4 linked regions of the Arabidopsis thaliana genome follow. The protein of the gene in region 1 binds, or shares a complex with, the protein of each later gene. Each region holds a gene or a part of one and is shown in the gene's direction. Other genes may lie near its edges. The genes, in order: TIC110, Tic20-II, TIC40 and TIC55-II.

Region 1 (7,709 bases):
CTTTGAATCCTGGGTATTGCTCAAAGAGCAGCTGAAGCATCATACTATTCGTCTCAATGGGAAGATTATGAATGAAGAGTATGTTGTTTGGTGGCATCGTGTCTTGCCCACTCGGCTGGAAAGGAGGCTGTGAAATTACAGAGACGGGTATTAGGAAACAAGGATTTACAGACTAAGTTGCGATAATGACGTCTGTCAGAAGATAATATTGTATTGTTGGAATGATGCGAGAAAGAGAAATTGCCACAGGCATTCCGTTCTGAGTAGTTGCGCCATTAGGCATGCTTGGTTGTTGAGTTTCTTCAGCATGTCGCTTCCTTTCAACTGAAAGTGATGTGCAGTTTTGTTAAACATCAGATGCGAAGTAAAACACAGATGAAATGAGCTGAAAAGATCTGAACTTGTGATGGAAACGAAAGTTTAAACCTTTCTCTTCTTGCTTCATCTTCTTTTCTTTTGGAACAAAAGACCCTTCGGCTTTAGTAACATAATCTGACTTTGATTTTGCATATTGTATCCGCTGCACCCACAGAGATCACACATCACGATTTGAATAATAATATTGCATTTAGCTTTTTCTAGTCTTTTACTTAGTAATCACTTGTGTAATGATATACCCTCAACATCTAATGTCGTTGTACTTCCTTCAATTTTATATAACAACAAGTATCAGCAAGCAAACTCAATTTTCCCTCCAAGTAAATCTCTGCAACTTTCTAAGCTTATAGTCTCACATAACAAGATAAAATCATTTTTCGGTAGCGGGATAGATAAACCTGGAACATAAGAGAGGAAAAAGGTACCATAGGCTTATCATAGAAAGGAAAGTTCTGCATCTGACGGACAGCGTTGCTAGCAGCGGTGACTTCAGTAAAAACAACCCATGCTTGTCCCCGGAGCTTAGGAGTCTTTAACGCAACCACATCAAGTAATCTTCCAAACTGAGAGAACAAACAGTAAAGAGACCTCTTCAGCTCTGAAAAAAACAAGTGGAAACATTAAACAATGATCTGCTTGAACAGCATTACTCTTAGACAAACAAAAGCAGCAGCTAAAGAACTTAAGGTCATTGACTTCAATCAAACAATCTAAACAAATTTCATGGCAAAAGCAATCGCCTTTCCTACTTAATTACTTAAATAAAGCACCTTTGTTAGAGTATCTCTAGTTCAGGTCTATTAAGATTAGACAGAAATTCTAAATCCCTAATACTTAGAAAGATAACTCTAAATGCATCTAATCTAACCTTCGTAAACATCAAATTAAGCAACTTTAAACTCAGACAACTCATTCAAGAGAAGCTCACACAAGCATTACCAAGCTACTTAAGCATTGCAAAAACTCTTAGAAAATCACCGATGCAATTATATGAATTTCGTAAGCATTACCTTCTTTCTTGATCTTCTCATTGATATGTTTTATGTAGATTGACTGATTTGGTGGTATATCAGCCGTTAACATCTTTCAACTGAGCTCCGCGAAGACGACGATGGTCGATGGTCACAGCCCTGAGAAAATTTAGCGAGCCCTAAGAGCCAAGAAGAGAGAAGAAATCGTGGCGTTTCCAATTTACACAAGGCGTCTAATTTGTTTTTTTATGTAAACATCTTACCGTTACCGAAGAGTAAAACAACACGTAGTTTTATAATATTATTAAAAAACGTCTGGACGTTCGAAAGGGGATTTTGATGTTTTGTTAGGCCCTATCTCTTTCCCCTTTTCTTCGTTCGCATCTCTATCTTCTTCCGTTGTCTACTGTTTTTCGTTAAACCCTACGATTCTTCTTTTTTTCAACGACTGCTCGGATCTTTCTCAGTAGAGGGAACCATGAATCCCTCACTCGTCACCGCCATTAACGCTCCAATTTCACCTTCTCCTCGGTCTCCTCTTCTTTCTCACTTCCTACCTACTTTACCTCACCGTTTCTCCAAGTCTGAGTGTCTATCTCGCCGTCGTTATCGAGTTTCGTTCCCTCGTAGCTCAGCTGCTTCCTCCGACCAACTATCAGTATCTACGCAGGCGAAGAATCCCGGTATCCATGGGAATAAGAAGGAGCTCACTGGATTGCAACCGATTGTTGAGAAAATGACACCGCCGGTGAGGCTAGCGACTTCAGCTGTTGTATTAGCGGCGTCTTTAGCTACTGGTTACGGCCTTGGGCTCCGTTTAGCCGGCTCCAGGAATATTGCCTTTGGTGGGGCTGCTGTTGCTGGAGCCGCCGGTGGAGCTGTCGTATATGCGTTGAACTCTGCTGTACCGGAGGTAGCTGCTATCAGTTTGCATAATTATGTTGCCGAATTCGAAGATCCTGCCTCTGTGACGAAAGATGATGTAGAAAAGATCGCTGATAGGTGAGTGCTTCATTTAATTGTCAATTTGTGTCTGGGATTTATAAACAAAAGTTTGCTTAAACGATCCTTCTTATATGTTGCAGGTACGGTGTCAACAAAGGAGACGAAGCATTCCAGGCTGAGATTTGTGATATTTATTGCCGGTGAGTCAACAAAGGATACTGTGTTCATCTTTTCTCTTAGTGTGGGGAATTCATTAGTAATCTTTGCATCTTAATCTTGATTTAGGTATGTAACTTCCGTGCTTCCAACTGAAGGACAGTCTCTTAAAGGGGATGAAGTGGCGAAGATAGTCAAGTTCAAAAATGCTTTAGGGATAGACGAACCTGATGCAGCTGCCATGCACATGGAGGTGCTTTCTAGATTCTTAATCTTCATTTGAATTAGCCGTTAGCCTTTTTGTAGTTGATGCAGAAGGATCTTGATTGCTGAATCACCAATTCCTTGGTTTTGTTTAGATTGGTCGCAGGATTTTTAGGCAAAGGCTTGAGACTGGGGAGCGTGAAGGTGATGCAGAACAGCGTCGGGTGAGTCGCCAGTCCCTAGTATTTGTTAAGTTTATTGTAGGATTGTTCGAAAGAGAGCACAAGCGTGATCACAAGTTGTATGCTTCCAGTGCAGGCATTTATGAGGCTTGTATATGTTTCAGCTCTTGTGTTTGGAGATGCTTCATCCTTCCTTCTACCTTGGAAGCGAGTATTGAAGGTCACAGATGCTCAGGTAGGCATTTCCAATTTTTTTCATACTTCTGATTTTGCGCAATAGTTGTTTTATGGAAGTTTCATTTTGGCAACTCACTCCTTCTTGGTAATCTGAAGTTCTGTGCTAATGTCTTGACCTCATTTCTAGGTTGAGATTGCTATTCGTGAAAATGCAAAGCAGCTGTATGCCGAACGGTTAAAATTAGTTGGTAGAGGTAATGTTGTTCATGTTTTACATTTTGAGATGGGAAGTAATGTTACATTTGTAGAACGGGTTTGAGTTTGCTTGACTTGGTTATATTGATTATTGTGGCACTTCTTTGTCCATTGGGTTTTGTAATATTCGTTTATCAGCAAGTTGTCTGAATACCAACCTTAATTGTTACTTCGCATGCGACTGTAATGGTCCCTTCTCATTTAACATTGATAATAGATATGGCTTTTTGACAACCAAAAAAAGATATGACTTAGCTTTTTCGTCAGCTTAATGCATGGAAACTTACATGGTTATGTTTCTAAACATGTTCTTGCAGATATTAACGTAGAAAACCTTGTGGACCTTAGAAAATCACAACTATCATTCAAGCTCTCTGATGAGGTACTCTATTTCTTTGTGGCATTGACTTCCTGCTATCTCTGGTTGTACTTCTTCTGACAGTTTCTTCTCCCTCATAGCTTGCTGAAGACCTGTTTAGAGAGCATACGAGAAAAGTAGTCGTAGAGAACATTTCATCGGCACTCAGCATACTCAAATCCCGCACACGAGCAGCGTAAATCATTTTAACATATTGCTTACAGAATCATGCATAGAAAAATCGTATAGAATAATCATTATCCATGTGAACAGTTTGGTTACACATTTAACTTTTTTATTTCTTATACCAATGAGTTATGACTTTAGCTGGGTATATGTATTCCTTTGCTTGAACATTGAGTTTGGTCGGGTTGAAAAAAGAGATTGAAGTTTTGGCTTTAGTTTTGAGTTTTGGTTATTGCAAAAACTGATTGGTCATATGATCTCTTTTGCTTTTGTGAATTGTCTTATAGTATAAGTATTTAAAAAAAAGTCATGAGATTTTAATTTTATAGGCGTTTTTGTATCTTGTGATAATTAATAGTGGAAACAAATTGGATCATCTAGTATGTCTAGTTTATAGTAGTTTACAATGCATGTCATTTTAACGACCTGATTTTTTCCAGGAAGAGTTTGGCATCTGTCGTGGAAGAGCTTGAAAAAGTACTGGAGTTTAACAACCTGCTAGTTTCCTTGAAAAGTCATTCAGAGGCAGATCAATTTGCACGCGGGGTTGGCCCTATTTCTTTGATAGGTGAAGATGCTTTTGACCTTCTCTTTTCTGAAGAAAAATTATTGGCTCTCAACCTTGGATCTATGTGGCTTAGGTGATGAGTCTGATTTTGAGAGGAGAATGGATGATTTAAAGCTCCTTTATAGAGCATATGTTACAGATGCTTTATCTGGTGGGCGCTTAGAAGAAAATAAGGTATACTCAGTTTTGTATAAGATATTATGTACTAAAGCTTAGTTGCAAGTTTTTTTGAGAGTAAGTGTTTTCAGATGCTGTGTCCTCTATCCCAGTCGCATGTTTTTTTCCATTTCTAATTGTCTTTCTACTGTATGGTAGCTCGTGGCAATGAGCCAACTTAGAAACATACTCGGTCTGGGAAAACGAGAGGCTGAAGCTATTAGTGTTGATGTTACGTCCAAGTCTTACCGTAAAAGACTTGCTAACGCTGTTTCTAGTGGTGACCTTGAAGCACAAGACAGTAAAGCAAAATACCTTCAAAAGCTCTGCGAAGAGCTGCACTTTGATGCACAGAAGGCAGGCGCAATCCATGAAGGTATAAGCCGAACCTTCTGTTCACAATGAAATCTTATGTTTTTATGTTATGCATGAGGTATACAGTTGGAATTGCCACATAATCGCCCAAATGTAAGATGTGTCCATGGGTATCAATTTAGTTGATGGCTTGTAAACTTGCGGGTTCCTTATCCTTTTAAGCTAGCTTTTAGTGTTGTAGATTTGGTTCTTAACAGACTTCTAACAAGTCTGGTGTTTCAGTGGGTTACATGCTGTTATTTTACAGTTTGAGTATCTATTTGGTCTTTTTTTCCCAATCATCTGACAAGCACCTTCTCTTCCTCAGAAATCTATCGGCAGAAGCTTCAACAGTGTGTTACTGATGGAGAGCTGAGCGATGACAATGTTGCTGCTTTATTAAGGTTAAGAGTTATGTTGTGTATTCCCCAGCAAACTGTTGATACAGCTCATGCAGAAATCTGTGGAACCATATTTGAAAAGGTAATCCAGTTATCACCTCCCTTTTCCCTTTATCAAGGGTTTTTTCATGGTCTTGGGTCTTGGCACTGCAATTTCCCTCTGCTTCCCTCTCTGCCTTCGCATTTTGTTACCAAAAGGTTTTACCTCTAATTACCTTTTTGTTTAATCTTTCCAGGTTGTCAGGGATGCCATTTCTTCTGGAGTGGATGGTTATGATGCTGAAACTCGCAAATCAGTTAGAAAGGCTGCACATGGTCTTCGGTTATCCAGAGAGACTGCCATGTCTATTGCTAGCAAAGCTGTGAGTATCACACTATTTACTTTCTCCATGCTTGGTATTAGGATTTGTTAAAATTTTCTGACTTCTCATAGCAAGACATGAAAATCAAATCCCTTCATTGATGCAGGTCCGTAGGGTTTTCACAAACTATATCAGACGAGCAAGAGCAGCCGAGAACCGTACTGATTCAGCAAAGGAGCTCAAGAAGATGATTGCTTTCAACACGTTGGTTGTGACTGAAATGGTGGCTGATATCAAGGGAGAATCTTCTGATAAGGCACCTGAGGAGGACCCTGTTCAAGAGAAAGAAGAAGATGATGAAGATGAAGAATGGGGATCCCTTGAATCGCTCAGAAAGACAAGACCCGACAAGGAACTCGCTGAGAAAATGGGAAAGCCTGGCCAGACTGAGATAACTCTCAAAGATGACCTTCCCGACAGGGACAGAATAGATCTCTACAAAACATACTTGCTCTACTGTGTAACTGGAGAGGTAACAAGAATCCCTTTTGGCGCCCAGATCACAACAAAGAGAGACGATTCAGAGTACTTGCTTCTAAATCAGCTTGGTGGGATTCTCGGATTGAGTTCGAAAGAAATAGTCAACATTCACGTAGGTTTAGCCGAGCAGGCTTTTAGGCAACAAGCTGAAGTGATTTTAGCTGATGGGCAATTGACAAAGGCTAGAGTAGAGCAGCTAGACGAGTTGCAAAAACAAGTTGGTTTGCCTCAGCCACAAGCCGAGAAGGTTATCAAGAATATAACCACCACAAAAATGGCAAACGCGATAGAGACCGCTGTTAACCAAGGAAGACTGAACATAAAGCAGATACGGGAGCTCAAGGAGGCAAATGTCAGCCTGGACAGCATGATCGCTGTGAGTCTGAGAGAGAAATTATTCAAGAAGACAGTGAGTGACATCTTCTCATCAGGAACTGGTGAATTCGATGAAACCGAAGTCTACCAGACAATCCCATCCGATCTCAGTATTGATGTGGAAAAAGCCAAAAGAGTTGTCCATGATCTCGCTCAGAGTAGATTATCGAATTCGCTGGTCCAAGCCGTGGCATTACTCAGGCAGAGAAACTCTAAAGGAGTGGTATGCAAATCATCTTTTCCCTCTCTTATCGTGACAGAAAACATGGATATTTCAGCTTCTGGGTCTAAATTGTGTATGTATGTATGCTTTTTTTTTTTGGTTTTACAGGTCTTGTCGCTGAATGATTTGCTTGCATGTGACAAAGCTGTGCCGGCTGAGCCAATGTCATGGGAGGTCTCAGAGGAATTATCTGATCTATATGCTATTTATTCAAAGAGTGATCCCAAACCCGCACCGGAAAAAGTTTTGAGGCTACAATATCTGCTGGGAATAGATGATTCAACTGCAACTGCCCTCCGTGAAATGGAAGATGGAGCATTATCTTCTGCTGCAGAAGAGGGCAATTTCGTCTTTTAAATCTTTGGAGAAATCACTTGAGTTATTATGTATTGTGTTACGGCCGAGGGTGGAAAAATGATTTTGAATTTGAAATTTGACCAAAGTCTGTGAAAATTTTGTATCAGAACCATAAACTTGATATGATTAATTTGAAAATCTGCAAACGAGAAGTGTATCCCTTATACAATTTAGAGCGCAGCTTTGAAGTGCTCATGTGGTGTCACGTGACGGGTGTTCCCGCATAACGAACCTAAAAAATAGAATAACAGTTAATTCAATCATTGAGAACTTTTTTTTTAATGAAATGATTTGACCGTAACACCGTAAGTGAAAGTTAATTGTTAATTCTATGGTGGTCTCACATGACTGCACACAACTAGAACAATACTCAACAATCAACATGTATACTAGATCTGATCTCGTTATAGTATGTTTTTGTCGAAATTTCTAATTATACAAAAGCACGTCTTTTAAAGACAAAAATAGAAGCCATATGATCCAATCAATTGATTCATAGAGATGATGATATGAATCGATGAAACATAGTTTTTAGAAATTATTTCCAAGATTACAAAAAAAGAAAAAAAAGAAGTGAAAATTAATAAGAAAATAGGAGAGAGTTAAATATAAGAAAAAAGG
Region 2 (3,151 bases), on another chromosome or scaffold:
GCATGACGCCCCAAATTTACAAGTTCCAGTTTTCAAGTAAAACTGCCAGGAAAGCAGAGATCAATAATATCACAAAAAACCTTGTTTCATCACTTGGAACATATAAAATGACTGGTCGGGGTGGGTTACCTGGCATGGGGGTTCACCAAAACGTTCAGGATACTGCCCGGTAGCTCTAACAGTTGCTTCAACCTATACATGAATCAACATGAGAAAATAGTAAACTGTGGCCAAGCTAAGATGACAAAATGATAAGCTTTTACAAGAGCATACAAAGGTATCAGTAAATACAGGGAAACACCGGGTAGAGTCAATGCATAAGACAAAAAAAAACGTGACGTAAAGCACAACAACTGAAACCAGTAAAGCTTAACAATTTCCCCAGTTTAGAGAGACTCTATAAGGCCAGTGATCACCCACATTGCGGAAAAAACAGAGAGAAGCATTTGATTGTGTCCTCCTAGTATGGATGGTTTCAGAACAATAATAAGAAAGAAGAATGAATGAGAGGAAGAAATTACCGAGGCACGATCGCGAGGGTGATTGTAACGACATCTATTACCGTAGCCACAGACACCAGTTCGCATGTAGTAGGCACAGTCAGGAGCACCTGGTCTCTCAGGGTACGAGTCGCTACCCAACCCTAATCGCCACATCGATTCTGCAAATCACAAAATTGAGCACAGTCAGGGCCATTTAGCGGAAACCCTAAAGAGACCGTACAGTTGCTGAGAATCAAAGCGCATGCGAGACCTTGGAGTCCGGTATCGGCATCTGCAGGGGTCCAGTCGGGAGCTTGAGCAGATTGTGAGCCATTGAGGGGAGGATTGCGAGCATACATGTCCTTAAATTTAGGGATTTGGTGTACAGTAAAAAAGATACTAGTAAAAACTCCTCTCACCAAACTAGAAGAAACTAATAAGAGAGTAAATGTCAAAAGCTCATCGGTGGATCGACAGAGATTTACCGGAGAAGCCGATTAGAAAAGCTCTGAGAGAGAAGAAAAAAAGAAGAAGAAGAAGAAGAGATGCTTCGACAGTGATTGAGAGGAGCTTCTTCTTTGGTCGGTCTCTCTCTCTCTCTCTCTCTTCTTTCGCTCTTCAGGAATACCGTACGGTCTGCCCTCTGCACTACTGTTTCTTTTTTTAGCTTTCAATTTCTTTTTCTCATATTCTTTTTTAAATAATAATAGTATATAGTAGTAGTTTGTATTAATTTGTTTTGTGAGATTTATTTTTGGTTCTCTCTTGGTCCTTGGGTCGCCAAGTAAAAGCATCCCAGAAAAGGGAAGATATTTCCAAGAAATATACTACTTGACAAAACAACAAACAAAAAATAAATAAACTAATTTTTACTAGTTTCCAACCAAAATGACGGTAAGGTCCTTGGGCGGGGATAGCGCGCGAGTGGCCAACATGTGACACACAGACAGTTTTCTCACTTCACTTGCTAACTCGGGGAGTAAAGTGGTCTGGTCCGAAAGTGGGGACACATCCGTCATTTCTACCTGCTACTGTTTCTTAACTGCTCTCTCAACTCGCTCTGACCGAGTCTGACTCGACTCGACTCGCCTTCAATCAATGCCATCACATTTCTTCGTTTCCGCTTCCCATTTGTCGGCGCCACAAAAACCTTCTGTTGTTCACGAAGCCCTCTAGTACCATATATAGGCCCATTTATATAGCTAAGTCGGCCCAATTATGTTGTTAGTGTGCGCGGGCCAAATTTTAGATTCGAAAACGGCAGCGTTTGAGCTGTTACTTTTTTTTGCTCTTCTTGTCAACAAATCGACACTGCCGACTAAACAGCGAAAATCCCAAACAAAAAAATAAAAGAATGGCGTCTCTGTGCCTTTCTCTCCACCAAACCCTAACTAATCCCCTGTCGGCTCCCAGATGCAGACCACTCAGCCTCTCCTTCCCCGGATCCTCAACCTTCTCGATCCGCCCCTCTAGCAGACGCGCAACCGCCTTGACGACCCGCGCCTCCTACACCCCGACGCCGGCGACTGAGCGCGTGATTTCGATAGCGTCGTACGCGCTGCCGTTCTTCAATTCTCTGCAGTACGGGCGGTTCCTGTTCGCGCAGTACCCAAGGCTGGGATTGCTGTTCGAGCCAATCTTCCCAATCCTGAACCTGTACAGATCGGTGCCGTACGCGAGCTTCGTGGCATTCTTCGGGCTGTACCTGGGAGTGGTGAGGAACACGAGTTTCAGTAGGTACGTGAGGTTCAACGCGATGCAGGCGGTGACGCTGGATGTGCTCCTGGCGGTTCCGGTGCTGCTGACCCGAATACTGGATCCGGGTCAAGGAGGCGGGTTTGGAATGAAGGCGATGATGTGGGGGCACACGGGGGTTTTCGTCTTCAGCTTTATGTGTTTTGTGTATGGAGTCGTCAGCTCCTTACTCGGCAAAACTCCATACATTCCATTTGTCGCTGATGCCGCCGGTAGACAACTCTAATTCCGGCCAATATCTACCTCACTCAGTGTTCGGGTTTTCGATTCTAGAATCGGTTATTTCTGGTTTATAAGAGAGACCAAATCAATCAGTGTTGTTAATTAACCATTACCGTTTTAAAAAAAATATTTTTTGTTATACTCCCAACATTTGATTTGGCCCAATATGAAAGAACAGTATGGGGGGCCTTTAATGAAGCTATCATTGACTGAGTATAATTTTACAATCGTCGGTGAAAAGGTAACTAAGTAAACGGTAAAAAAATGAGCGCCGTCTATCTTACCGCGCAATGAATGAGAAGTCAATTTGGGAAACTGATCGGAGAAAAGAGGGAGAGAGGGTTTCTCAGCTGAAATCAAAATGGGTATTATCAGATTTCAAATCCTGAATCCGACGAGGATTTGTAGGTCTACTATATATTATATGTCTTGCCGTTATCTGCCATCATCATCATCATCATCATCACCACTCCGAGTATCTTCTTCTTCATCGCAAAAACCTAGTTTCGATTTCTCCAGAAGGTGGCATTTTGGTCACCCTGATCATCACCAGCAATATCAAAAGCCTGGAGAAGAAGGGGAGAAGATATTCCGGCTAGGTCTCACCGCAGATATAGGTTTATCTGTCGCAAAAGCTCTCACCGGTTATCTCTGCGGCAGCACCGCCATTATCGCCGATGCTGCTCATTCCG
Region 3 (6,475 bases), on another chromosome or scaffold:
TTAGCACTCATGTATAGCTTAAAAGAAATCTTATGTTCCGATGCTAAATCAAACATCTTCATTGATGGTTTGGAGTCTCTGGACATGTAGCATTCTGGGAATTTTTTTTCCCGTGGATTCTAGCATTTTCTCGAGATTCGACATCTTCCTATGTTTTTAATTCTGATCTTATGTTTGGATATTTTAGATCTTCGAATTTCTATGATAAAGTGTTAACCTTTTCTCAAATAAAGGTTTTGTGAAAATTTGCTTTTTGATGCTGCTCTATGATGATTCTTTTTGCTTTAACCACACTGAAAAGATGGGGTTGAGAATGTGATTTTGCTCTTCTTGATTCAAACCAGAGAAAGATTAGATTTGATCTCGGAGTTTCTTGATGACACTTTGATCTAAGTTGCTTGAAGGGGATTCTTTTTCTCCTTTGTGGTTTAGATTAAGGTAGAGAGTAATGTCGAGCTCTTATCAACATTTTTCATGGTTTGAGGCTTGAAGAACATTCACGTTTTTCAAGCTCACTCATGTGGACAACCTTGGCCCTTGTCTGAGAAGCAGCTTTTTCTCATATTCAGTTTTTCTAAATTTGTTGTTTTAAAAAAAAAAATTGGTTTGTTTTTTTGGCTGTTCTATGATGATTATATTGCTTTAACCACACTGAAAAGATGGGCTTGAGAATGTGATGTGGTTCTTCTTGATTTAATCCAAAGAAAGAGTTCTTGAGCTATATGTATTGCTTGATGACACTTTGATCTAAAATACTTGAAGGGGATTTGTTTCCCTTTGTGTTTTAGATCAAGGAAGAGATCAGTGTAGAGCTCTTGTTCGATATTTTTCTTAGTTTAAATCTTGAAGAACATTATCATTTTCTCAAGCACTCATATGTGGAATCATTGTGCCCTTTGTCTGAGAAGCAGCTATGAATTCTGTTTTTGTCTTCGATATTGTTAAACGTAGCTGATTTGTAAGATTACTTTGTGATCTTTTTTGGATGCTTGATATGTATCCAACCAAGAGTGGGTTTCTTCTTACAAAGATATTGAGTTAGGAATTTTAATGTCATTTTATGTTCGAATTGGGGAAAATTCACAAAAAATTGGGAAAATAGAAGAGAGCATTATTCGATGTTTACCACATGGTGGAATAATTTGACAGAACAATGTACTTTGGGAATGACATATGGAACAAACTGTGTAAACCAATTTGATGATGAAGGTGAACGAGTTACATATAGGAGACTTACACTTCCATAATAATATTCAGAAACTATATGAAAGTGTATCTTTCTTTATTACTAAAACTCTTTTCTAATAAGAAATGTGTAAACTATGTAACTCGGCAACGGTTCCAGACTCTCTAATCCTAAATCAATGTTAAAGGCGTAAGGCTCTTGAACCTGTTCATTGTGAGCTTTGAACTAAGTATTCAATTTTTTGGACAATCCGAAAAACACAACAGTATAACTACAAATGGATTAGTCCCATTTGGGCGTAGTCTCATTCGTTTGGACGAGAAACACAACGAAAAACCTAGCCAATTTTGTTGTTCTCATGTATGGGCTTAATTGGGGACTAATCCATCTGTGGTTCCCCTTGTTTCCATAGTTCGTAATTTTATTCGTTTTTCGTCTTAAGTTTTCCCTTCTTTAGGTTTAGTTTCCGGAGATATTTTTGTTTTCCGCCGGCTTTGTGTTTCAAATTTGTATTCCACCCTTTGTATTTCACAACCTATAATACAATGGAAAAATTCTGGATGAAAAAAAGAAAAAGAACACAGTATATAGAAAAATCTGAATCACAGTACTAACATCATTGATTTTCTGCTACAAAAATGAGTGTACACTGATTCTTAAAATAGATACGGGCTATAACATAACAAAAAGAAAAAGTGGGGGATGGCTTTTGCAATAATCTCGAAAGAGTTTCTCACTCACATCACACCCTTGGTTTATAAATAAAACTCATTGATCTTGACGGTGAAAATATCGCCACCTGTTAATTTGTAAAAAGGTTTCAGTACACTTAGCTACACTGGATCCAAGTCTAGTGCTAAACTCAAACCTCGTGGTTTTAGACCAAAATCTCTTCTTCTTCGTTTCCTTCTTCCTCATCATATCTTTCATCTTCTCCACCAGAATTTGTTTTAGGCTCTCCTTCTTCTGTTTCTTTTTCTCCCAAAGAAACAATTAGATATGGAGAACCTTACCCTAGTTTCTTGCTCAGCTTCTTCTCCAAAGCTGTTAATTGGATGCAATTTCACTTCCTCGCTGAAAAACCCTACTGGGTTTTCTCGTCGGACTCCTAATATTGTCCTCCGGTGTTCCAAAATATCTGCCTCTGCTCAATCTCAATCTCCCTCTTCGCGTCCGGAGAACACTGGAGAAATCGGTTAGTTTGCAAATTCCACTCGACACTCTATTATAGCAAATGCCAAAATTTTCCGGAAAAATTTCCAGTTTATTACTTTTATCTATCTTATTGAAACTCAAATTGCGAACCCTTTTCGACTGGTTTAATATGAGCTTATGAATTGCTATATCTCTTAAAAAAATCCACACTTTGTGAATTTGCAATTTGAATTCTTGTAGAAACCATTCATTGTTAGAATTGTTTACTTTAAGTTTATGTTCGATTTGCAGTGGTTGTGAAACAGAGAAGCAAAGCTTTTGCAAGTATATTTTCTTCGAGTCGTGATCAACAGACAACTTCTGTTGCTTCCCCTAGTGTGCCTGTGCCACCACCATCTTCATCAACCATGTAATTTTCCTGGTTTTGGACAATGTGCTTAGTTTGTATGTCGTTTGATTCTTGGTTATTAAATTGTGTTTTTTCTTTTTTCTTGTAGAGGATCACCACTTTTCTGGATTGGTGTTGGTGTTGGTCTATCAGCTTTGTTCTCATATGTGAGTATCAAGATTCCTTCCTAATTTTTTTTTCCTCTATAAATATTCTTTCTTGCTTCAATATTGATTAATAAGTGCTTGACCTTTTTTCTTTTCTGATGGCATTGCAGGTAACTTCAAATTTAAAGGTACAGATACTTGGCCCTCTGGTTTTACGGGACTTTTGTTCTCTAGTCTGTTGCAGAACCACGATTTTATGCTTCATGTCAACTCTAGTGTATTGTGCTCATGTATCTGAGATAGTTTTATTCACTAAACTGGTTATCTTAACAAGGTGAACTGTTTGCTCACACTTGTTGAACCGTTTATATAAGCATCGAACTTTTGCCTCTCTTTTTTTGGGTAGTCACTTGATTCGTAGATGGTAACCTACATACCATTATGGTTTTAGTGATGCAACTCAGGTATTCAGACTTATAGTCATTTTCGCAACTCCAGTATTTGATTGAAATATATTATACAAGTTGTCATTGCTTTCTCTCATTATTCTCTAACCGGCTGTTACTCTCTTTGGATTTTTTTTTTTGCTTTGGTTTAGAAATATGCAATGCAAACAGCTATGAAGACGATGATGAACCAAATGAATACGCAAAATAGCCAGTTTAATAATTCTGGATTCCCATCAGGATCACCTTTTCCGTTTCCATTTCCTCCTCAAACAAGTCCTGCTTCCTCGCCATTCCAATCTCAATCCCAGTCTTCAGGTGCTACCGTTGATGTGACAGCGACAAAAGTAGAGACACCTCCTTCAACTAAACCGAAACCTACACCTGCAAAGGATATAGAGGTGGATAAGCCAAGTGTTGTCTTAGAGGCAAGCAAAGAGAAGAAAGAAGAAAAGAACTATGGTAGATTCTTTTTCTGTTTCAGAAATCAACGTCTTTTCATTTGTATTCTCAATTTTGACTTTCTTCCTTTCTCATTTTCCAAGCTTCTAACTTGGAAGCTGATTTACTTTTGGATGCAGCCTTTGAAGACATTTCACCCGAGGAAACCACAAAAGAAAGCCCATTTAGCAACTATGCAGAAGTCTCTGAAACTAATTCCCCCAAAGAAACTCGCTTGTTTGAGGATGTAAGTTTCGTTTTCTTTTGTATTTCCACAGCACACCAAGTGGTGATTTAAAAACGTGACATAGTTTTGCTAACCTTCTATGCTCTCTTATTGATCTCTGGGTGAAGGTCTTGCAAAATGGAGCTGGTCCGGCAAATGGTGCCACTGCTTCAGAGGTTTTTCAATCTTTGGGTGAGTTATTGAATTTCAGTTTTCATCACTATCAGCGCACTGTGCATGATTCATGATTAAGGCTACGGATTTCAATTTTATTTTATAGCATATGCCAACAATTATAAACAAAGGAAGATATGAAATTGGTGATAAAGAGGAATGAGTTGGCTTCAAAAGGATCTACTCCGTTACTTTTGTCCTTCTGCTAGTCGTTGATCTGTATTGGTATAACCATATAAGACTTGCAGGATATTACCTTGGCAATCTGTTTCATATCTCATGTGTTATGATTCTTTTTTCTTATATGCTCACGTTATTGTCTCTCTTTTCCTTATTCTAAATTTAAAACTGAATCCTGAGTCTGTCTATTGTTTACACAGGTGGTGGGAAAGGAGGGCCGGGTTTATCTGTAGAAGCTTTAGAGAAAATGATGGAAGATCCAACAGTCCAGAAGATGGTTTACCCGTAACTCATCTTCCCTAGCACATTGTCTTTAAATGCATCCATTAAGTTTATCTTTAAAACTGGTTGCTTAGTGGACATTTGGTAACATTGCATGTATAAATGCAGATACTTGCCTGAGGAGATGAGGAACCCAGAAACTTTCAAATGTAAGTCTTTTAATATTTAATCCTGCTATCATTCTTTTATTAGTCCTCATTTTTACATATTTCTAAAGACTAAAGGTTACATGACTAGCTTTTGAATGATGTAATTCGTTTATAGGTTGATCCAATGGTTATCTAAATTTAAAATACAGTTTGGTACTTATTGTCTCCGCTTGGAATTTTGTAGGGATGCTTAAAAATCCTCAGTACCGTCAACAACTACAGGACATGTTGTAAGAGCTCCATTTTACGAACAATTTAGTTGTTTCCATTGCTTTTAAGAATGTCTAAACTATGTAATTAAGAAATACTCTTGTTTGTTTCTTTTCATGAATTTAGGAATAATATGAGTGGGAGTGGTGAATGGGACAAGCGAATGACAGATACATTGAAGAATTTTGACCTGAATAGTCCTGAAGTGAAGCAACAATTCAGTAAGACAAATCTCAGTTTGTACCAAGTTAATAGTACGTTAAATAGGTCTGATACTCAATGATTGAATCTGTATTTGTCAGATCAAATAGGACTAACTCCAGAAGAAGTCATATCTAAGATCATGGAGAACCCTGATGTTGCCATGGCATTCCAGAATCCTAGAGTCCAAGCAGCGTTAATGGAAGTACGTTTTCTTTTAACCTGAATAAGAGAATTGCTTAATTTTACCCCACTTCTTTCTTCATACAAAACAGAAACCAATTACATTCTTGTTGTTGTTGCAGTGCTCAGAGAACCCAATGAACATCATGAAGTACCAAAACGACAAAGAGGTAATAATACTGCCACTTCTCCATTGCCCAAAAAGGCGATTACTTTTTTAAGAAATTTGAGGTTATTATACATTGATTGCAGGTAATGGATGTGTTCAACAAGATATCGCAGCTCTTCCCAGGAATGACGGGTTGAAAAAGCTCACGTCTTTGGTTCTATCAAAAATGTCACATTGTCTTTAGCTTTTTGTAGGGAGAAAAAAATGTTTTTTTTTTTGCAAAGAGTCTTCAGTTTTGGTCAGATCAGAGAATTGTGTACCATGTTAATCTTAAACGCGGTCGGGAATTGGAGTCGTGTGAAAACGCCGCTGCTGTTGTTTGGTATGAATATTATACAATAGAATTTGTTGTCTTACCAAAAAAAGTCTATGAAGACACTGAAGAGCAAATTATTATTTTTAAGGGAAAATTTCCAAAATAAACTTCATGTATTCAAAATTTGCTTGAAAAAACCTCAATTTTTTTTGTTTGAGATTGTGTGAATAAATCTGCCAATATTTTGTTTTAGCAATTTAAAAAATTGAAGTTTTTTTCTCGCAAATTTTAAATAGTTGTGATTTATTTTGGAATTTTACCTTATTTTTAATATCCAAAAGGAGAAGTGACGTGGCGATATCGAAGCGGTTTAATGAAGTGATGGCCCCATCTTAAAGAAATCAATGACCCTTATCGTTCCACTTCTATCGGAGTCGGAGTTTTTTTTTGTTGTTGTTGTATTCCGTACGTCGGTCGTTGTCGGGAGAATTGGCGCGTGAAATCCTTGGCTCCGTCGAATACGTCTGCCTCCGACGGCTGTGAGTCGCATGATTGAGTCGTGGGTAAGTATCCTTGTGACTTCAAATTTGTATTTCCGTTCTTTATAATCCCCTGACTCTTGAGAAAATCGAGGAGAAAAAACCATCCTTGCTTGGTATTCATTTGAAGAGTGTTTTAGTTATAAAATCGTAATGTTTGACGGTATGTGATATTCTGTGAGC
Region 4 (4,493 bases), on another chromosome or scaffold:
GTTATAGTATATGTCACTTTTGCATACAAAAAAAGAAGAGAGAATCTATAAATAGAAAAATGTACAAAAGGATCTAATAATGTGCTTCAGAAACTCTTTATTTGTTGATAGTTTCTGTTGATAAGCCAATTCTTTGTCTTTCATGTCTCAGAAAACCTGAAAAGTACAAGAAATGGTGGAAATCAGTAAAAGGTTTGTCGTTTTTAGATAATAAACTCGATATAGAACAAAAATAAACAAGCAACGGAGATATTTGGATTTTAAAACCTGGGGGTCGTGGCTTTGGACTCGAATTCAATAACCTAATTAAGCAATAATCTTATAATTTCGAAGGAAACAAAACAAGCAAATTTTTTAATGTTAGGTTTAAAGCTTTGTGAAAAAATAATAGAAAAAATGTACTCCATCTTTTTCTAATCATTTTAAGTTTATTCCACTTTAATTTTGTAGTTTTTTTTTTCTTTTCTTCTTTATTGACTGATATTATAAATCACAAAGTTCAGGATGCAATGATTAAATTTATTAGATTACAATCAATGAGTATTAGTTTATAGTTATTAAAAATATTTAATATAAAAAATAAACAGTCATAAAATAATGTTTAATTTTTAATGTGTGTAAAATCCAAAACATCAATGCTTACGGAGATTTCCTTAAGATTAATAAAGTTGATTTTTATGTAATAAGAAACAAAATCTCATTAAACTTTAAAAGTAAAAAAAATAAAAATATGAAGTGTCACTTATGGTAGTAGTATCCAAAACAATAAGTTAATGGATTTGTTTCTAAAGAAAAGAAAAACACTATAAACAGAGGATCCTCACCATCAACTTTCACTAATCATCACAACTTCAACTTTTCAATACTCAGATTAACAATGGCTATTTTCTCCAAATTACATCTTCTCTTCTTCTCCTTCATCATAGCCACATGTATACATAAAACATTTCCAACATTTTAAGATGACTACTTTGATTTAATAATTTATCTGATAATTTTTTTTTGTTGTCCGTCCTAGTAATTTTTTTTTAATTGTATATTCTTCAAGGTACAATTTCTATTGTCTCCGGCACCGTCTTCACTTTATCAAACCGCTGCAACTTTACTGTGTGGCCCGGAATCCTAACCGCAAACCGCACACTACTCCGCGGCGGCGGATTTGCCTTAGCTTCAGGTTCTTCTGTAAACTTAACCGTTTCTCCAGGTTGGTCTGGTCGAATCTGGGGTCGAACGGGCTGCAACTTCAACGCCTCTGGTTCCAGAAAATGTAAAAATGCACCGGTGCAAGAGGAGCACCACCAGCCACACTAGCAGAATTCAGAATCGGCTCCTCTGGAAAGAAATACACCGTACAAGATTCTTACGACGTGAGTCTCGTCGACGGTTACAACGTTCAGGTGAAAATCACACCACAAGGTGGCTCAGGCAATTGTAAAACCGCGGGATGTGTTTCGGACGTGAATGCCATTTGTCCAAAAGAGCTACGCGTTAACGGCTCATCGGGTGTTGTGGCGTGTAAGAGTGCTTGTGAGGCTTTTAACAAACCGGAGTATTGTTGCACCGGCGCTTTCAGTAAACCGGAGACTTGCCCGCCGACGAAATACTCGAAGATATTTAAAGGAGCTTGTCCCACTGCGTATAGCTATGTGTACGATTATGCTTCGAGTAGATTTACATGTACTAGTGCTAATTATGTTATCAGTTTCTGTTCTTAGGCATAGTATAGCCTTTTTTATTGTTATTATTATCAACAATGAATAAATAATTAATCACTATTAACATAGTTTTATGTTTTTTTTTCATCACTATGAAATGTATTAAAGCAAAAAAGACTAATGTTAAAACTTAAAAGATTAAAAATAAAATAAAAAGAAGTTAAAATGACATTTAAATAACGTAAAAATAAACGACGTCGTTTAGCCAAAGTTTCTACTATCTATGTATGTGGTGGAACGAGGTCCAATGGTTGAACAAGCAACCTTATGATATATTTTATGAGAAGAGGCAAACAACACCTAACATTGGATTCGAGCTCTCTAGTGAAGAATCCGCCATGGCTGTTCCATTTCTAAGCTCTTCTCTACAACTCACACCCACTTCTCCGATTCTCTTCACTAAAGTAACACCAACACCAATAATCCACAACCACAGATCAACATGCACTATACCCACAAAGCCTCGTCTACGTCTCCTCCGCCGCTCCGCCGTCGCTGGAACCGCCGTATCTGATCAAACAGAAGGAGGTGGAGATGTTCTTTTAAACCCTGAAGAAGAGAAACGTGTTGAGGTGGCGGATTATGATTGGACAGAGGAATGGTATCCATTGTACTTAACTAAAAACGTCCCTGAAGATGCGCCTCTTGGCCTCACCGTCTACGATCGTCAAATTGTTTTGTATAAAGACGGTGAAGGAACACTTCGTTGTTACGAAGATCGGTGTCCTCATCGGTAAGATAAATCATCTAGCAAAACCACAACCACTAGTTTTGTACTTTTGTTTAGGAATCTGAAATTGAGTTTTGTCTTTTTTTTTATAAAGGTTGGCTAAGTTGTCTGAAGGACAATTGATTGATGGGAGATTGGAATGTTTGTATCATGGTTGGCAATTTGAAGGAGAGGGCAAATGTGTCAAGATTCCTCAGGTTCTTTGTTTACTGATTTTTGCTATTTCGAGATTTTCTCTTTACTCTGTACTTACTGGTTTTGGGTTCTGTTTCTAACAGCTTCCTGCAAGTGCTAAGATTCCAAAGGCTGCTTGTGTGAAGACGTATGAGGTGAAGGATTCACAAGGAGTTGTGTGGGTGTGGATGTCAACAAAGACACCTCCAAACCCTGAGAAGCTTCCTTGGTTTGAGAATTTCGCTAGACCCGGTTTTTTCGACATTTCGACTACTCATGAGCTTCCTTATGACCATTCCATTCTTTTAGAGAATCTGATGGATCCTGCTCATGTTCCTATCTCTCATGATAGAACGGATTTCACTGCTAAAAGAGAAGATGCTCAGCCTTTGGTTTTCGAGGTCACAGAGCGAAGTAATCGGGGTTTCGCAGGGACTTGGGGCCGAGAGAAAGAAGGTGGGAAAGGGAGTAATTTACTTCGGTTTGATGCTCCTTGTGTTCTGCAGAACAATCGAGAGTTCGAGGGGAAGGATGGAGTGAAGAACTATTTTTCAGGGCTGTTTCTTTGTAGACCTACAGGGCAAGGGAAGTCTATGCTTATTGTTAGGTTTGGGGTCACAAAAAGATCGCCTTTGGTTTCGGTGTTACCTCAATGGTTCTGGCATCAGAATGCCTGCAAGGTTTTTGAACAAGACATGGGGTTTCTATCGTCTCAAAATGAGGTTCTGATGAAGGAGAAAGTACCAACTAAGGACTTGTATTTGAATCTAAAGTCATCGGACACATGGGTCGCTGAATATAGAAAGTGGATGGACAAAGTTGGTCATGGGATGCCTTACCATTTCGGGCATAGGACCATATCTCTCCCCAAAGTCCCTCCTGTCGTGGAACATGCCCCGGCAGGGCTCATTGCAGCTCTCTCTGCTTCTTACCCTGCAAAAGGCGGAATTGGGACTATGCATGCTCCCAATTTGGCTAACCGGTACTTCAGACATATTATTCATTGTAGAAGCTGCAGCAATGTGATCAAATCTTTTGAGCTCTGGAAAAATATCCTCTCTGCCACGGCAGTGGCTTTGACGGCTTTGGCCATTCTGGTGGTTAGTAGACAGTGGAAGGCTGTCCTGTTAGGTTCAGCAGCATTGTGCTCAGCCGCAGCTTATACCTGCTTAAGAGCTATAAATCTAAACACCAATAACTTCATTAGAACACACAGAAGACTATGAAAATGTATAGTGTCATGTTTCCTCTTCTTCCAACAATATGTATTTCATGAAATAAATTTTTGCTTGTAAACGCAATTATATAATTCAGAAGGTTCCAATGTTTGCCATCAATCTTACAGTTTAACCATGAAATTTCTGTTAAACTGGTTTAAAGTTCTATGTTCTAAAACTTGAGCCATTTCTTCTCATTCTCTTTGCTTACTATAGCATTTGAGGCAGCTGCTTGACATGCTAATGTACTTGCCAATGCCTTTCGGACTTCTTTCAATCTTCTCGTCGCAGCCTCTGAAACAACTAGATCTTTCTTGTTTCTGTTCACCATCTGTTCTAGTTTCAACATTTCTAACTTCAAGTCTCTGACTTCATCTTGGTATTCAACCAAAGCTTTCCTGTCTACTGGACCTTTGTTTTGCCTATTTTTTACAGACTCGCTGTGTACTTTCTCATGGCGGGTAGGAAAAATTTGTTCATTGATTAAGCTAAACAAATCTGGCTTCGATTCCTCTTCCTGTTTCGCTGCTTTAGCTGCTTCTGCAAACTTCTTCCCACGCTTCCTTTTCCCACCTCTGCTCCTTTTCTTCTTTTGTTTCTCGCTTTTACATTCTCCATTCCTAATGTGCTCAAGAGCATAATCCAGTGACCGCTTTG

What was found.
Region 2: TIC110 (region 1) and Tic20-II share a complex: the UniProt entries of both Arabidopsis thaliana proteins name them as parts of the tic complex.
Region 3: TIC110 (region 1) and TIC40 share a complex: the UniProt entries of both Arabidopsis thaliana proteins name them as parts of the tic complex.
Region 4: TIC110 (region 1) and TIC55-II share a complex: the UniProt entries of both Arabidopsis thaliana proteins name them as parts of the tic complex.

The regions. Positions count from the first base shown.
Region 1 is NC_003070.9:2,129,682-2,137,390, reverse strand, and holds TIC110 (translocon at the inner envelope membrane of chloroplasts 110), read left to right. Parts: upstream 1-1,687; 5' UTR 1,688-1,827; coding exon 1,828-2,351; intron 2,352-2,434; coding exon 2,435-2,494; intron 2,495-2,579; coding exon 2,580-2,703; intron 2,704-2,809; coding exon 2,810-2,878; intron 2,879-2,972; coding exon 2,973-3,071; intron 3,072-3,200; coding exon 3,201-3,267; intron 3,268-3,585; coding exon 3,586-3,650; intron 3,651-3,727; coding exon 3,728-3,822; intron 3,823-4,252; coding exon 4,253-4,380; intron 4,381-4,453; coding exon 4,454-4,554; intron 4,555-4,695; coding exon 4,696-4,912; intron 4,913-5,218; coding exon 5,219-5,373; intron 5,374-5,527; coding exon 5,528-5,653; intron 5,654-5,759; coding exon 5,760-6,731; intron 6,732-6,839; coding exon 6,840-7,088; 3' UTR 7,089-7,338; downstream 7,339-7,709. Other genes in the region: AT1G06960 (RNA-binding (RRM/RBD/RNP motifs) family protein), read right to left, coding at 1-127, 245-324, 427-520, 804-976, 1,389-1,461. UniProt on the Arabidopsis thaliana protein: Involved in protein precursor import into chloroplasts. Forms a voltage-dependent cation-selective channel at the inner envelope of chloroplasts, which specifically responds to a transit peptide.
Region 2 is NC_003071.7:19,593,643-19,596,793, reverse strand, and holds Tic20-II (putative conserved protein ycf60), read left to right. Parts: upstream 1-1,792; 5' UTR 1,793-1,836; coding exon 1,837-2,463; 3' UTR 2,464-2,607; downstream 2,608-3,151. Other genes in the region: AT2G47850 (Zinc finger C-x8-C-x5-C-x3-H type family protein), read right to left, coding at 1-42, 130-192, 522-661, 754-841; AT2G47844 (uncharacterized protein), read right to left, coding at 1,355-1,501; AT2G47830 (Cation efflux family protein), read left to right, coding at 2,821-3,151. UniProt on the Arabidopsis thaliana protein: May be involved in protein precursor import into chloroplasts. Not redundant with TIC20-I, TIC20-IV or TIC20-V.
Region 3 is NC_003076.8:5,448,623-5,455,097, forward strand, and holds TIC40 (hydroxyproline-rich glycoprotein family protein), read left to right. Parts: upstream 1-1,997; 5' UTR 1,998-2,185; coding exon 2,186-2,381; intron 2,382-2,632; coding exon 2,633-2,750; intron 2,751-2,838; coding exon 2,839-2,896; intron 2,897-3,006; coding exon 3,007-3,024; intron 3,025-3,434; coding exon 3,435-3,744; intron 3,745-3,863; coding exon 3,864-3,970; intron 3,971-4,077; coding exon 4,078-4,141; intron 4,142-4,503; coding exon 4,504-4,588; intron 4,589-4,693; coding exon 4,694-4,734; intron 4,735-4,918; coding exon 4,919-4,964; intron 4,965-5,070; coding exon 5,071-5,165; intron 5,166-5,246; coding exon 5,247-5,350; intron 5,351-5,450; coding exon 5,451-5,498; intron 5,499-5,580; coding exon 5,581-5,634; 3' UTR 5,635-5,955; downstream 5,956-6,475. UniProt on the Arabidopsis thaliana protein: Involved in protein precursor import into chloroplasts. Part of the motor complex consisting of a co-chaperone (TIC40) and a chaperone (HSP93) associated with the import channel (TIC110).
Region 4 is NC_003071.7:10,572,985-10,577,477, forward strand, and holds TIC55-II (translocon at the inner envelope membrane of chloroplasts 55-II), read left to right. Parts: upstream 1-1,957; 5' UTR 1,958-2,053; coding exon 2,054-2,448; intron 2,449-2,539; coding exon 2,540-2,642; intron 2,643-2,723; coding exon 2,724-3,845; 3' UTR 3,846-3,954; downstream 3,955-4,493. Other genes in the region: AT2G24810 (Pathogenesis-related thaumatin superfamily protein), read left to right, coding at 878-932, 1,049-1,204, 1,263-1,397, 1,480-1,715; AT2G24830 (zinc finger (CCCH-type) family protein / D111/G-patch domain-containing protein), read right to left, coding at 4,009-4,493. UniProt on the Arabidopsis thaliana protein: Involved in protein precursor import into chloroplasts. Part of the redox regulon consisting of TIC32, TIC 55 and TIC62.